Caenorhabditis elegans: one gene and its partner. The protein of the gene in region 2 purifies or fractionates together with the protein of the main gene of each other region. This does not show direct contact. Each region holds a gene or a part of one and is shown on either strand. Other genes may lie near its edges. The genes, in order: wago-4 and mina-1.

Region 1 (8,240 bases), on a different chromosome or scaffold from region 2:
TGGCATATTTTTCGAACCTGAAATCGAAAAACTGACGATTCTAATACATTTTTTAAAAAACTGTAGTGACTCCTTTCTGTAAAATCTTCAGTTTTGGGCCAAATTTCATAATTTTACACATTTTCAACTCGTATGATTCCTCTCAACAAAATTATGAATCAAAAAAATTCGGAAAGAGTTTCTATATAGGCCAACAATAGCCAAAAACTGCTGTCCCAGCTAATCGAGCTCCCACGAATTCAGGAGTTTGTGAGGTGTCGTTCCAGTAATTATGAACACTCCAGGACATCGTGTTTATTACCTTCTTAAGATATGGAAATTTCTTTCTAAGCGCATCCATTGGGTACATGAGACCTCCGTAACGATTCAGTCGTGGGATGTGTCCTTGACTGTTCTCACCCGGCAACGGGATCGAGTCCACTTCCAGATTGTTCGATGTCGCCTCAATTTCCGACTCTGGAGGAATGAATCCGCCACTCACAAGCTCTTCGATTCGGTTACGCTCTCTCTCCAGTTCACCCATATAATCAGCCATTTCACGTTGATTTTCCAAAAATGCAATGTAGGCTTTCGGGTGGGAATCTCTGAGATGTCGCTCGAGAAGGCTCATCTCACCGAAACGATTTTTGCAGACTTTGCATCGGAACATGCTTTTACGGACGGCATTTCGAATTTCATCGATGCTCAGTGAGGACGCAGGAACCATGTTGAGATCCGGAGCACAAAAGTCTTGCTGCTCTGAAAATTATAAATTTTCTTTTTTTCCAAATATTGGTTCAAAATTGGACTCAAAATTGCCTAAAAATACCGAATTTCATGATGAAACTTCTTGAAAACTTCTCAAAAAAAAGTTATGACGGCTCAAAAACTGGCCTAAAATTAGTTAAAATTTGAAATTTGACTTGTCAGCGCTGCCAGCTGGAAACTAATATTTTTGAAATCACCGTCAAATTTTGAGTATTTTATGTAATTATCTTTCGTTTTTAACTCTGATTTAGGTATTTTAAAGTCGATGAACGGCGAGATTTTTAAATTTTTTTAAACCAAATCTCGCGGTCCATCGACTTTAAAATACCGAAATCGTGTTGAAAACGCAAGATAATTACATTTTATACCCAAAATTTGACGGTGATTTCAAAAACAAAAATTGTTTCCAGCTGACAGCGCTGACAAGTAAAATTTTAAGTTTTAACTACTTTTAGGCCATTTTTTGAGCCGTCATAACTTGTTTTTGGGAAGTTTTCAAGTTTCATTATATAAATCGGTGTTTTCAGACAATTTCGAGTCTACTCCACCTTTAAATGACAAATTTCTGAAATCCTTACTTTGTCGAACTATACACTTGTCAAGTTCGGCAGATGGATCGATGAAATTCAGTGCAGCTCGGTTTTCGCGAAGCTTTTTGATTGGTCTTCCATCCCCGCCGAGAATGATTCGTTCTTTATGAATTTTCGGCGGATTTCTGAGGCTCGCAAGAAGCTCGCCGACTCCGGTGAGCTTTTTTCGTGGGCAACACACGTCATTTCTTCCAGAATCGTTGGCTTCAGCTACTGTTTCCTTTTTCATGCATTCTTGAAGGAAGTGCTCTTGAATACGACGAATCTGTTGAGCATCCTGAGCGTTGAATGATGCAATAATCTGCTGTTCCTTTTCGTCTTGGCAATCCCTATGTTCCGCATGATCATCTTCCGAGACTGCATCTATCAAGAAATCATTAGAAGAGAATAATACAAGAGAAATAAATATCAAATAGTGATAATAACTAGGTTTCTTGGAACCAAATATAGAAATCAAGTTAACAAAATTTCGTTATTTTTGTTTTTTTATTAGGTTAACAATAGAAAAAAATATAATGATTACGTGAATCTTCACGATCGACAATCTCCGGCGCCTTCATTGTTTCTCGTTGCTTGTCCTGATTGTTCCTGTAATTAATTGCATTATTGAAGGAAATTTTAAGATTTCAAATAACGAAATTGAACACGGGTCTGGAAAAATAGAGGCGAAACGAAGAAATATGAACATTTCGAAATAATGCAACAATCTCATGTGACTCCTGATGAAGAGGGTATTTGAAGTGCAAAATAGAGCGCAAGTGCACTTTTTTAATTTTTCTCTTAAAAATAGCTATTTTTGTTTAATTCTAGAGTTTTAATTATAAAAAGAAAAGCAAAATTCAATAAAGGTTCTCTTCGAAAAAATAAATTGTTCGGGTGGATTTACGGTAAACAAGGCGCATTGCGTTAAGGCGGAGTGTCGTTGTGCTCGGGTCTCGCAGCGAAAGTCACCTACAGTAACCCAGAATTTTAGGATGACCGCGATTTTCAATTTCGTTTTTTCTTTTCGCGTTTTTTCGCGGAAATGTTTGTTTTTGATGCTCGTTTTGTGTTTTTGTGTTGTATTTTTGTTGCTTTTTTCGCATTTTTCTATACGTTAAGTCTTATTTCGTCTTGAATTTTAAATTTACAGGTAATAGTTACAAAATCGAGAAGGATGCCAGCTCTTCCTCCAGTCTACACGCCTTCTGGAGCTCCATCGAGCGTCCACGCACCACCTGCCGTTCCACCAGTTCCAGTTCCGACTCAACCGTTAAGATCGGAGTATCAAACGTCTAACGACGCTTGCATCAAGAGACTGGAAGAGCTTAATGTACGTTTAGTTTAATTGATTTTTTTTTCAAACCTAATTTGTTAAATTTCAGATTGCTCCTGCTGCAAAGCTCTATCCAACACCTACTGAACCAGGAAAGTGTGGCGTCGAGGCCGAAATACAGACCAACGTATTCGGAATCGAGATGCACCAGGATTCGTTGTTCTATCAGTACAGCGTGAACATCACGACGGAGCTGAAAAACGGGAAAGAAGTTACCTTCACTAAGAAGGGGAAGGATGAGTGAGTTTACCACATGATTTATATTTTTCTCATAATATGTTCCAGCTTCGTCGTTACTGAGAGACACGACAAGTGCTGTGCGATTCTGTTCCGCGCGCTGGGTGACTATGAGGAGTTCTTCAAAACGTCTGATAGCTGCCTCATCTACGATGGTCAAAGCATTCTGTTCTCAAACGTGGATCTTTTCCAAGGGTTCAGAGAAGGCGCAGTAAAGGTAAATAAATTAAATCTCGGCCAATGTTATTCCGAATATTTCAGACCAAGTACATGCAGCTTGATGGCGGAGAAATGGATCATAAGGATCTCAAATCGTTGCCGTGTATTAAGCTGGAGGTGTTCCCGACTAAAAACCCAGCGGTCAAGTTCACACGAGAAGCCGTAGCAAGACGAGCAACGGACTCAAACCTCGATTCTGTCAGCTTGGCTTACCAACAGATCCTGGAACTCGCTCTCACTCAACCATGTCTTCGCAACACTGCGAGATACGTTGTTTTCGATCATGGAAAAATGTTTTTCATTGATCCACTCGGTGAAGGATTCGAGAAATGCGACGTTGTGGACGTTGGGGATGGGAAGCAAGTTGTACCAGGACTCAAGAAGACGATCAACTTCATCGAAGGACCCTACGGCAGAGGACGGAGTAATCCATCAGTTGTCATTGACGGTTGGTATTCAAAATAGTAATATCATAGTTATTTCTTGTTTTTCAGGGATGAAGGTCGCTTTCCATAAGAATCAGCCAATTCTCGACAAACTGAAGGAGATAACTACGCAGCCTGTGGAACACGGCCTGAAGGGACTCGAAAAGGACCGCTGCGCAGCCGTCATCAAAGGGCTCGACTGCTATTCTACATATGGCGGTCGTGAACGTCATCACAAGATCGAGGGAATCCATCACGAAGGGGCTCGAAATGCTCGTTTCGAGCTCAACGACGGTGGAAGCTGCACTGTAGCTCAATATTTCGAAGACGTATACAACATCACTCTTCGCTATCCAGACACAAATCTCATCGTTTCCAAGGAGAGAGGAAATATAAACTTCTACCCGATGGAATTGTTGAAGATCAGCTCTCATCAACGCGTTCAGATCCCGCAGCTAACCAGTGCCCAGAGTCAGAAGACAACGAAGGAAAGTGCTGTTTTACCTGACGTTCGCCAGCGTCTGATCTTGACGGGAAAAAATGCGGCGCAAATCTCATCGGACAACGAGGTTCTCGGTAAAATGGGCGTCTCGGTGTGCGAAGATCCGCTCATGGTCAAAGGACGCTCAATTCCTGCGGTGAAGTTGGCAAACGCTGAAATTGGAGCCAATCCAATCAATGTCAAGGACAACAAGTGGCGTGCCAACCGCTTCACTCGACCAGCCACGGCGCCGAATGTGTGGGCGATGTATGTTGTCGGTACCGCATCAACTCGCATAACTTTGGATACTCTGAAGTAAGACTGGCAATATAGTTTCATATCTCATTTTTTTCGTTTCAGGAAATTCGCAGATGAGTTCGCGGCTATGTGCAAGTCAAAAGGTGTCAACATGCCTGCTCCTGCTGACATTTCGCTCATCCATATGGATGCCATCGAGAGTCGTCTGTACGACGCAACGAAAGCCAATTGCACATTCGTTTTCATCATAACGGATGATTCAATCACTACACTCCATCGTATGTTACATTGTTTATTATATTTGTCCATATTTCCGTCTTTCAGAGCGTTACAAAATGATTGAGAAGGATACGAAGATGATCGTTCAAGACATGAAGCTATCCAAGGCGTTGAGTGTTATCAATGCAGGAAAGAGGCTAACTCTCGAGAACGTGATCAACAAGACCAATGTGAAGTTGGGAGGTTCCAACTATGTTTTCGTGGACGCCAAGAAGTACCAGATTTTTTTTTGCGAAATTTATATTCATTTATTATTCCTTCAGGCAGCTCGACTCTCATCTGATCATCGGAGTTGGGATTTCCGCCCCACCTGCTGGAACCAAGTATGCCATGGAGAACAAAGGAGTTCTAAACCCCAATGTCATCGGCTATGCGTACAATGCACAGCACAATCAGGAGTTCAGTGGAGACTTCGTGTTAAACTCTGCCAGCCAAGATGTGAGTTTCCATTTAAGAATATTCTCATCCGATTTGATTTCAGACTCTTGCGCCGATTGAGGATATTGTGATGCACTCGCTCAACGAATACCAGAAGTTTCATGATGGCGGTCTTCCGAGACGCGTCATTGTCTACCGAACAGGAACAAGCGAGGGAAATCATGGATCAATCATGGCCTACGAGATTCCTCTTGCTCGTGCTGCTATGAGAGATTTCTCACCTGATATTCAACTTGTATACATTGTGGTGTCAAAGGATCACAGCTTCAGATTCTTCAAGCCCGATTTGGTTAGTAGTTTTGCATCAAAATAACTTTGTATATTTTCAGGCAAGTCTAGCTTCCCGTCCACAAGCGACTTCCAGCACCGCAAGCAGGCATTCTGCAATGCCAGCCGCCCCAAAAGCATGGGATCTGAATATTGCACCCGGTATTTTGGTCGATTCCATCGTGACAAATCCGGCTTGCAAGCAGTTTTTCCTGAATTCCCACATCACTCTGCAAGGAACTGCGAAGACTCCATTGTACACAGTTCTCGCCGATGACGCCAAAGTCAGCATGACAGCTTTGGAGGATATCACGTACAAGCTGTGCCATCTTCACCAGATCGTTGGACTTCCGACGTCGCTTCCAACTCCATTGTACGTCGCCAACGAGTACGCCAAGAGAGGACGCAATCTGTGGAACGAGGCAGTGTAAGTTTTGCATTAGCGGATTCTTTGGAAAAATGTTTTTGTTTTCAGGGCCTTGAACAACGTTCCAACTGTTTCTGGCCCGGAAGCAGATCGTCTCAAGGAGTTGACCAAGAGCATCTGCTACAAAGCGTCCGGAGATCTCACGGGTCGTCGTGTCAACGCATGATCACTTTCAACAAGGCAAACTTTGTTTCTTTAACCACCTCAACCCTTCCCTGCTGTTCCATTATTTCCTTGTCCCTATTGCAATTGTTTTTGAACAACTAATAACCCTTTCCCACCTGTACCATTTCACATTGTTACTCTTACACCACGTTTATAACCGCATAGTTTTCCCAATGTATTAATATTGCCCATTCTTGTTATATCATACTTATATTGTCCCCTGTTATTCACTTCCCTTGTCAAATATTTCCTTTTTTCAGCAACTTGTCATCGCAATTTCTTTTCTCGTTGAAATTACGCTGACAAGTGTGCTCTGTGGCCTTTTTCTTTTTTTTTTTCATTTGTTTTCTTGTACTAACTTCTCGAAACATCAGAAGATGTTTCGAGAATTTAGTTTTGAATACTAATATAGGCACTGAAAACTTAATAAAAGTTGATAGCCGTCGAAATTGGTTTTTGTTCTATTTTTGAATTTTCCGGGTCGGCTTGGCATCAGGGATGTTCAAGAAATTTTTTTTTGCAAGAAACAAGAAATTTGCATAAAACATTGCAAGAAAAAGCGCAAAAAATGAAAGAAATTTCAAGACATGGAAAACAGTTAAACTTTTTTCAAATGTTAAGATATAGGTTAAAGTAGTCGATTATAAATACGATTTAACCTAATAGGCGACTCCTGGAAGTAAGTTTCAGCCGAAAACTATGAAATTATTGCAATTTCCAAATTTCTACGATTTGTCAAATTTCCATGTCCAATTTTTAACGATTTGAAACATTTTTCCAGCTTTCTAAACGTTTTTTATCCAAAATCCTATATAAAATTTTTATATTTCCATAGAACTTCCTCCATCTTGTACTGATTTTTCTCGAAATAAACCTGAAAATCAAAAAAAAATTTCTTGCACTTTTCTTGCAAAAAAATATTGCAAGAAATGGAAGCAAGAAATGCAAGAAATCAAGAAACAAGAAATTTGCATCCCTGCTTGGCATGCAATTATAATAGTGATACTTAGCTCTAATGATAAGAAGAGGGAGGGATTGTCACGTAAACCCCGTTCTAGGGCAGTGTGGAAAATATAAAAAGTTTATTTCGGAAATTAAATTTTCTACAAACATGTGATTGTGTTTTGAAAAAAAAGAAGTGAGTTTCGCGGCGTTGTAAATACAAGTACAAAATTGAGTGAATATTATATTTTCAGAAAGAAGGGTGGGGTACTGTTGAGAAGCGAGACTCACACAACTACGGAAAAGATCATCAATACAAGGGACACAATAACGGAGCCTATTTCGAGTACAAACAACTATCCAAAACCTGCTTATAATGTCAAGTTAGTCGATGAGATAATTAATTTGCAGAATGATAATTGATGTTCAGGTTCGTGAATTTGTGAAGAGCATTATGCTCGGCGGTCGTGAAGCTCAAAGAGCTCAATATAATATTTTAAATTCTATGAGGGGATCTCGTAGCTCTTTGTAAGTAAATAATACAGTTTGTATATAAGTAAAATGGAAATTTTCTCATCAGATGGTCCAATGCAAACACAGCTTATGTTGGATTCACGAGCAACCCAGGGAAGTATTGCATTCGAAAAAGCCCAAATGCGCCCAATGATCGAGACTTTTGGGTCGATGTGTGTCAATCGCAAATTGGAACAGTTCTGAAAATTGGAAATGGAGTGAACGACTTGGCATTTGTTCCTGGAAAGCGATCACACAAATGAAGTTCAACGATGTGCATTTGATCAACAAAAATCACTCAGAGATTTCATCAGCGAATTCCACGATTTTTTTTGATAGTGTTGACGTTGCTTGTGGGATCAATCGATCTTCAGTTGAGTTCGTTTCTCTTGGATCTTGGAAAGACAATGAAAATCCACTATTCGATACTTCTGCTATGGTATGTTCTCTAATTGCCGCGTGAATGCATAAAAAATGGTGTTTTCAAAAAGAGATTGATGATTGCTTCCCGCGATGAAGACACCAAGTGCTCTATGCTGGTAGCAATATTGTCTACGTTGGATTCACTTTTGCACTCAGTGAGTTTGAAATATTCATATTTTGTTCCCAAATGTAATCATTTAGGAAACCGCTCTATCCGTATTCGACTGCTGCATTAATCTTCGAAATATTGGGCTATTGTATGATATGAAAATTCAGGTATGATTCATTTCATCACACTAGTGATTTACATGAAAACTATTTCAGGATTATCAATACATTTTCGATACAATTCTTGACTACTTCATTATTGGTCAAGCTGCCGTTGCCACTCCCGAGTTGACCAGAATGTACCACCACTACAAGCAGCAATAATTGTACTTTTTTCTATTTCATATGGCAATAAACAATCAATTCGGCATAATCTATATATTTATTTACATTTGCACCTTTAATT
Region 2 (6,093 bases):
AACTGACCGCCCACCAATCAGCAACTTGCTGATCTTTGGCAAATGATGCAAAGGCAGCCACCGCGGCTCCAGCTGGAATCAACGACGAGATGATCGCATTACGAGTGTCCTGAAATAAACAACTTCAAAAAATTAACACGCAGTTTTGTCTAGAAATTACCTGAGTGGTCCAGAATGGCATTTTTTCGTAAGCAGCAAGACGACAGTGCTCCTTGTCAATAAACTCTGTAAGAAAAAATTGGTTTGCGAAACGGGAGTTAAAACGAGGTGCACACAAAAGTAAACGAAAACAGGGAAACGAGAGGTTATTCACGTTATCTCTGCGAATCCACACAAACTGGGCGAACAGTTGTATTTTGCATCATTTTTTTAGATTATAATTCTCTTCACACTGATTCAGTGACAGTCCGTCTGATAAATAAACTGGAAAACAAGAAGAAAAGGTCATCGAAATTCAGGCATTGGTGGTGGTTGGTGGCCGATTGTTCTCATCGGTCATTTAAAATGGCAGAGGCAGTAGGAAAAGAACAACAAAATTTTACGAGAGAGCGTACAGAGCGAGGAGTGTGTTAGACAGAAGGACATTGAAGAGAAAGCCAAACGAGTAAACATGCTGTTGCGGATCGATTTTGAAAAGGGAGGCTCGCGATTTCATTTTCAAGGAGAACCAAAATCTTGTGCTCTCGTCAACTTAAGAGTTGGTGCACGAGTTTTGAAAAAAACATGGATGGATATATAGTCATTAATGAAAAATAAATAAAATGACAGTTCGTCCAAAAAATAATTGTTTTAAATGTTTCTGAAACGGAAACATCAAACTTGAAGATAGTCTGAATGATCACAGCGAACACTACTGACATTCTAACGCCAATAAGTTATATCAATTGGAAAATATAAGTTTTTGCTAGTTCTAAATGCTATTGACAGTTGCGAATAGCGCGTGTGAGGACGAATGTTTGGCGGTCAGGCGGGCGGTCACAACAAAAATTGAGAAGGGATCAGTGAGTAGAAGAATGTACATGCTTTGCAGTTTAGAACGGACAATAAAGAACATAGAATATAAAATCTACAGACGCATAAAACCTTTAAATACTTCTCCAGTTTCCGAATGGATATTTGACCAGCTTTTCTCGAATTCACCGCGATGTTCTTGACAAGTCATTTTTCAAATGAATTATAGAAGTAGAATGATATTTAGAAAATATATTTTAAGAAGTCTGGCAAAACTATGAAAACGATCAGGCTTCACTAGAGATGAGAATGATACTGGAGAAGTAAACACTACGAAGGACGCCGAACAGAAAAATAACAAGATTGTTGTTCTGAGAGAAATTGTTACGATTGAAAAAAATACTTGTTGTTAAAAAACAATTTTCGATACAGACATTAATGTCGACATTCCTTGAAGTTTAAGAAGAAGAAGTTTTTATTAATAACACACAACGAACAAGGCAATCAGCATTTTACACAAAGCATCACAGGATTAATCTAGAAAACAAAATACATGAGCAAGCAAAAGGAACTAATAAATGAAATGAAACAGAGTTTGGCATCCACATGAAAAATGATATCAGAAGAAAAATAGGGTGCATGATATAGAGGGGACAAGGAACGAATATCACAGGTATTAATCAGACGGGGAAAGTTTACGTGGTGTCAATGCAAGCATCACCTTTGGCTGATCACGGAAACTGCCGCGATGATATTGTCTCGAATTACCACGCTTCTCGGGAGTTGTTGAAGAACTATCTGAAGTGAATGGAGATCCAGGCGTACTGAACCCAGAATCGGGAGGATTTGAAGCAGGTTTGTCCTGGTGTGATTGCATGAGGGACATAACTGCATTGCGTGCTTCCTGACATTGTTCTTTGTTCTGAGCCACGATTTCTACCGGTGTAGCTCCGAATGAAGACTGGACTTCAGTGTGAACGGTAATAACGCAATTGAATTGTCTCTCGATATGCTTTTTCACTGCAGCACGATTTCCTAATATTTTTCCTACTTCCGTGGTTGGAATCTGAAACGATAAAATGTAAAAATACTTTAAAATTGACATTAATCGTACCCATTGCTTGATTTTTTCGACAACGCATGTTTTTGGTGGGGTTAAAGGAAGCTCTTGCACTGGAGAAAGCCTTGGAGGTGGAACCGAAAAATCCGATGGGAAAAGGAGGTGCTTCTCTAGGCTTGCGGAAAGAAGAGGTTCATCCATAATAGACGTCGTCGGCGGTGTCGATGTCAATATCGCGTTCGGCTCGCCCATCTGTAGAAAATAATATTAGATGTCATCTGAAACGTTATTTTCTACCGGAAACACTGAGTTCAGAAAGCTATTTGGTGGGAGGTGTGTTCGAATTTCCGGATTGTACGAATTTGCTAGAACAAAATGAGTATTAGAAGTGTGAAAATTTCAACGAACTGTAGCCCATTCGTGTGGTTCGTTGTGTAGGCGGAATATTCATTTCCAGAAGACCGAAATGTTCTGTCAAACATTCTATCATCATCTCTCTCGCTTTATTGACAGCTTGCTCAGTTCCGAACATTGTTACCTTGCCAGTGAACTGGTCAATCTGAAAAATAAAATCAGCACAGTAGTTTTAACAAGCTCACGATAATATCAGTGCAGCGGGATCTCCGTTGCAAATCAGAAGAGAAGAAGAGAACAACAGCACAGTATGCCCGTGGTAGAAGAGTATGACAAATGTGTGTACAAGATGCATTGAGGGCAGCCTCTCGTATCATACTGAAACAGGTAATTCTAAATCGTTGAGTTCAGCAGAAATTACTAACATTTGAACATCTCTCTTTCGCCATACGTCCCGTAAGATTTTTTCAATTTGATTTATGTCCACTGCGACACCATCAGCACTGCTGATCACAGAGAGATGATCGTTGATTACAACTATGGAGCATTGAAACTGTCCTTCAAGAGCTGCAACCAGAGCGCATCCTTGAGGTTCTGAAAATGATATAATACATGGTTGTTAATGTTTACAAAGCTATTCCCAACCTGCCATGAATGCCTTCATTTTTTGGGGAATATAAAGTTCTTGAGGAACAGGGTACGGCGTTGAGTCGTCCATTTTCTTTTAAAATATCGATTTAAGAAGAAGAAAAGTGCTGAAAATGTATCTTTAGAGACGATAGGAATCATAGGCCTAAAATCATACGCGCCGGTTAGAAGTTAAAGTGAGTAAGGGGATTATTTAATTTTAATTAAAAATAAAATTTATAAATTCGTGTGAACGATTAATTATGCAACACGAAACCTCTTTTTTAATCCACAGTTGAAGAAAAATAGAAAAATTCGAAAAGAAAATCTTAAAAGCAATTAAAGGAACAGGGAATATCTTCACGAGGTCTCACAACGCAAATTACCGTACTTCAAAAATTCAAACTTTTTTGAAAATAGTGTTTTTTGTTGATTGAATTTTTGTTTTTCTGAACTTGCATCCGGCCGGAACGTTAATTTCAAACGATTTCGGGTTCTGTTATAAAATAAAAGTCTAATTTTGTTCATAAGTTTTTACATGTGAACTAAGTTATTTTTGTCAACTCCGCCTATTTTAATTATTTTCGTATTCAAACATTCAGGTTTGAGTGCTATGCTTCTAAATGTTGTCTTTCAGATTCTTGATATAAGATGTCATCGAAATCGAAGTCACGAACGAAGAAAAAGCTTCGTCAACACAGTTCAAGAGGCCCAATCACTGAAATGCTCGCATCAAACATGTGTATCTTTGAGGTTTGCGTAAACTTACGTTTTCTCCTTTTTAACACTTTTATTTAAAGGCACCTCCATTCAAAGCGGAGCAGGATTTCCCGATATATCTTGCCGCCGGCTACGAAGAACGAAGAACGTTTCTCAAAGAATCTGCTTGTCTTGTGGAAACGAAACCAGACGTAGAAAATTACAGCCAGTCGCATGTTAAAGTTCTGAATAAAATCCGAAACGATCCACATCTTAATGGAAACTGGAAACTGCTCCCCAAATATGATGAGGATGTGAAAGGCACAATGATGCGAATATTGGGACAACGAGCAATGATTTCACAAGGAAGGGAACATGAAATTTCCACATGTCCGGATTCCGGCCAAGAGTGAGGAATTAATTTAATTATATTATTTTAATACATTTCTTTTCAGTGTTCCATTGCTTTCGCCGACTTATATTACTCCAAGGAAAAGAATTCGAGTAACAGAGAATCTCACTTTCAACACCTTAGATATCGTTCCTGTCTATTCTGATCTACCAGATGAAAAATTGACTTCAATTCAAATTCCCGATACTCTTCTCTTCGAATATACAGACACGAATGTTTTGAACCCGTGCTCCGCAAGAAACATTGCGAAAGCATGTATTATGTCTCAAAAGGAAGAGAATACGGTACTTTATTCTTCTTTCTTTCCCTGAAGATTATTTCTAGTCAATTGTTCAGTTATTTTATGTATTGCTAAATTTAGTTTTTCTTCAAGGTAACAACTTATTTTCTTTTTCAGATTCGTTGTGATTGTTGCTCATCGAATCCAATTGTACCATGCTACGAAAACGAAAACTGCCCGTGCTATAAATTAAACCAAAAACTGCAAGGATTACAAATAAATAGTTCCAGTCACCCTCCTACCAAATTCGTAAGTCCTTCCGTAAGAATATGAAAAAATTTTTAATAAGAAGTTCAGGCGTCGTTTGATCCAGTAATGTTCTCCAATTCGAATAGTACATTCGATAGATGTATTGGATTCTCCTGCTCTGAAGCGTGTGGCTGCAAAGGAAACTGCACCAATAACAGTTTATTAATTCTTAACAAAAAACTGTTTCCGCTCGAGATCTATCGAAGCAATGAAAACGTTGGATTTGGATTACGTTCATCTGTTCTGATTCCAGCTGGCACGGCAGTATTGGAATTTACTGGAGAAATAGTTGAGCGTAATCAACTAGATCGTGACAGTCAAGATTATGCTTATCAGCTCACAGATAAAGACAATTCGAACTGGAGGCGTCTTTTGGATACAATGAAATTCTCTGATGACTATAAAAAGTTTTTGAAGAAGTTGAGCTACGAAGAATTTTTCATTGATCCAAAAGCCAAAGGAAACGTTGGACGAATGATTTGTCATAGCTGTTCGCCGAATTTAGAAATCGTTCGTGTCTACCAGAAAGGTCTTTCACCAGCTCACGTACATCTCGTTTTCATTTCGCTGTTAAACATTTATCCAGGAACACCGGTAAGCTATTTTATAAGTCTTGATTTGGAAATTTTATACCACTATCAATCTAGCTCATAAAGTTTGTTTTTACATTTCAGCTTACAATGGACTACGGATACAACTACATGAAAAATCATCTCAATGGAAAATGCGAGTGCGGAAGTTTTGCATGTTTGAACAGAAAAAGCTCCTGTCATACAAATATGTCATTCGGAGATGTAAGTATTTTTAAATTTGCAATTTTAATATAACATTTGTTTCAGTTCGCAGCTTATTATCGCAAATTGGACCATCAACAGTGGGAAAGTTGGCACAAGAACATCTGCGAACCTCTTTCATGCAACGACGATGTAGTTGTTTTAGATTAAGTGTTTTTGAAGTTTTACCGTTTTTTTTTCTTATTTTTTACTGATTTTCTTTTTTTCGTAAATAATAAACCTTTATAAAATCTTGAATAACGTATTACGCGAATTAGATTAAATCACATTATTCAACCAACTATACGAACCCATTCGAAACGTTTTTTTTGCTAATTTCAATAAAATTGGAGTTCATATCCATATAAACCTCCGAAAAAAAGTGCCAAACGACTTTCAATCAACTCTGCCGGAGACTTCATTTGGCGGAGCAACGAATCGGACGACTCGGGCCCGCCCATCAAAGCTCCGCCCATTTGCAAATGGCTACCAAATTAGGGTGACCTCCTCCAATCTCAATATTCTCCTTTTTCTTTTGTTTTGATAATTTTGATTATAACTGCATTGAAGACCTATATATATATATTGGAAGTGGCTCCTGCCAGCTAAATTCTAAAAATTTCGAAAATAATTTAGATTTGCATTGACCGTAGAATGATAGCATAAGCCGAACGATACAAATAAACTT

What was found.
Region 1: the proteins of mina-1 (region 2) and wago-4 purify together in Caenorhabditis elegans (affinity purification with mass spectrometry, with the first as the bait; one study listed by BioGRID). This does not show direct contact.

The regions. Positions count from the first base shown.
Region 1 is NC_003280.10:12,917,084-12,925,323, forward strand, and holds wago-4 (Argonaute protein wago-4), read left to right. Parts: upstream 1-2,467; 5' UTR 2,468-2,493; coding exon 2,494-2,649; intron 2,650-2,701; coding exon 2,702-2,892; intron 2,893-2,937; coding exon 2,938-3,106; intron 3,107-3,150; coding exon 3,151-3,556; intron 3,557-3,602; coding exon 3,603-4,329; intron 4,330-4,374; coding exon 4,375-4,550; intron 4,551-4,596; coding exon 4,597-4,765; intron 4,766-4,814; coding exon 4,815-4,989; intron 4,990-5,032; coding exon 5,033-5,278; intron 5,279-5,318; coding exon 5,319-5,683; intron 5,684-5,731; coding exon 5,732-5,849; 3' UTR 5,850-6,294; downstream 6,295-8,240. Other genes in the region: F58G1.2 (C2H2-type domain-containing protein), read right to left, coding at 302-738, 1,326-1,694, 1,861-1,897; F58G1.8 (Elongation Factor G domain-containing protein), read right to left, coding at 8,221-8,240. UniProt on the Caenorhabditis elegans protein: Argonaute protein which is involved in the endogenous small interfering RNA (endo-siRNA) pathway and is required for RNA-mediated gene silencing (RNAi) in the germline.
Region 2 is NC_003279.8:9,515,615-9,521,707, forward strand, and holds mina-1 (Messenger RNA-binding inhibitor of apoptosis 1), read right to left. Parts: upstream 3,123-6,093; 5' UTR 3,084-3,122; coding exon 3,011-3,083; intron 2,960-3,010; coding exon 2,791-2,959; intron 2,744-2,790; coding exon 2,611-2,743; intron 2,571-2,610; coding exon 2,420-2,570; intron 2,377-2,419; coding exon 2,309-2,376; intron 2,264-2,308; coding exon 2,066-2,263; intron 2,018-2,065; coding exon 1,628-2,017; 3' UTR 1,412-1,627; downstream 1-1,411. Other genes in the region: tspo-1 (TspO/MBR family protein), read right to left, coding at 8-109, 161-225, 1,084-1,162; set-32 (SET domain-containing protein), read left to right, coding at 3,644-3,745, 3,793-4,100, 4,147-4,387, 4,501-4,632, 4,681-5,226, 5,307-5,426, 5,472-5,576. UniProt on the Caenorhabditis elegans protein: RNA-binding protein which binds to its own mRNA and target mRNAs to negatively regulate gene expression to modulate apoptosis and differentiation in the germline.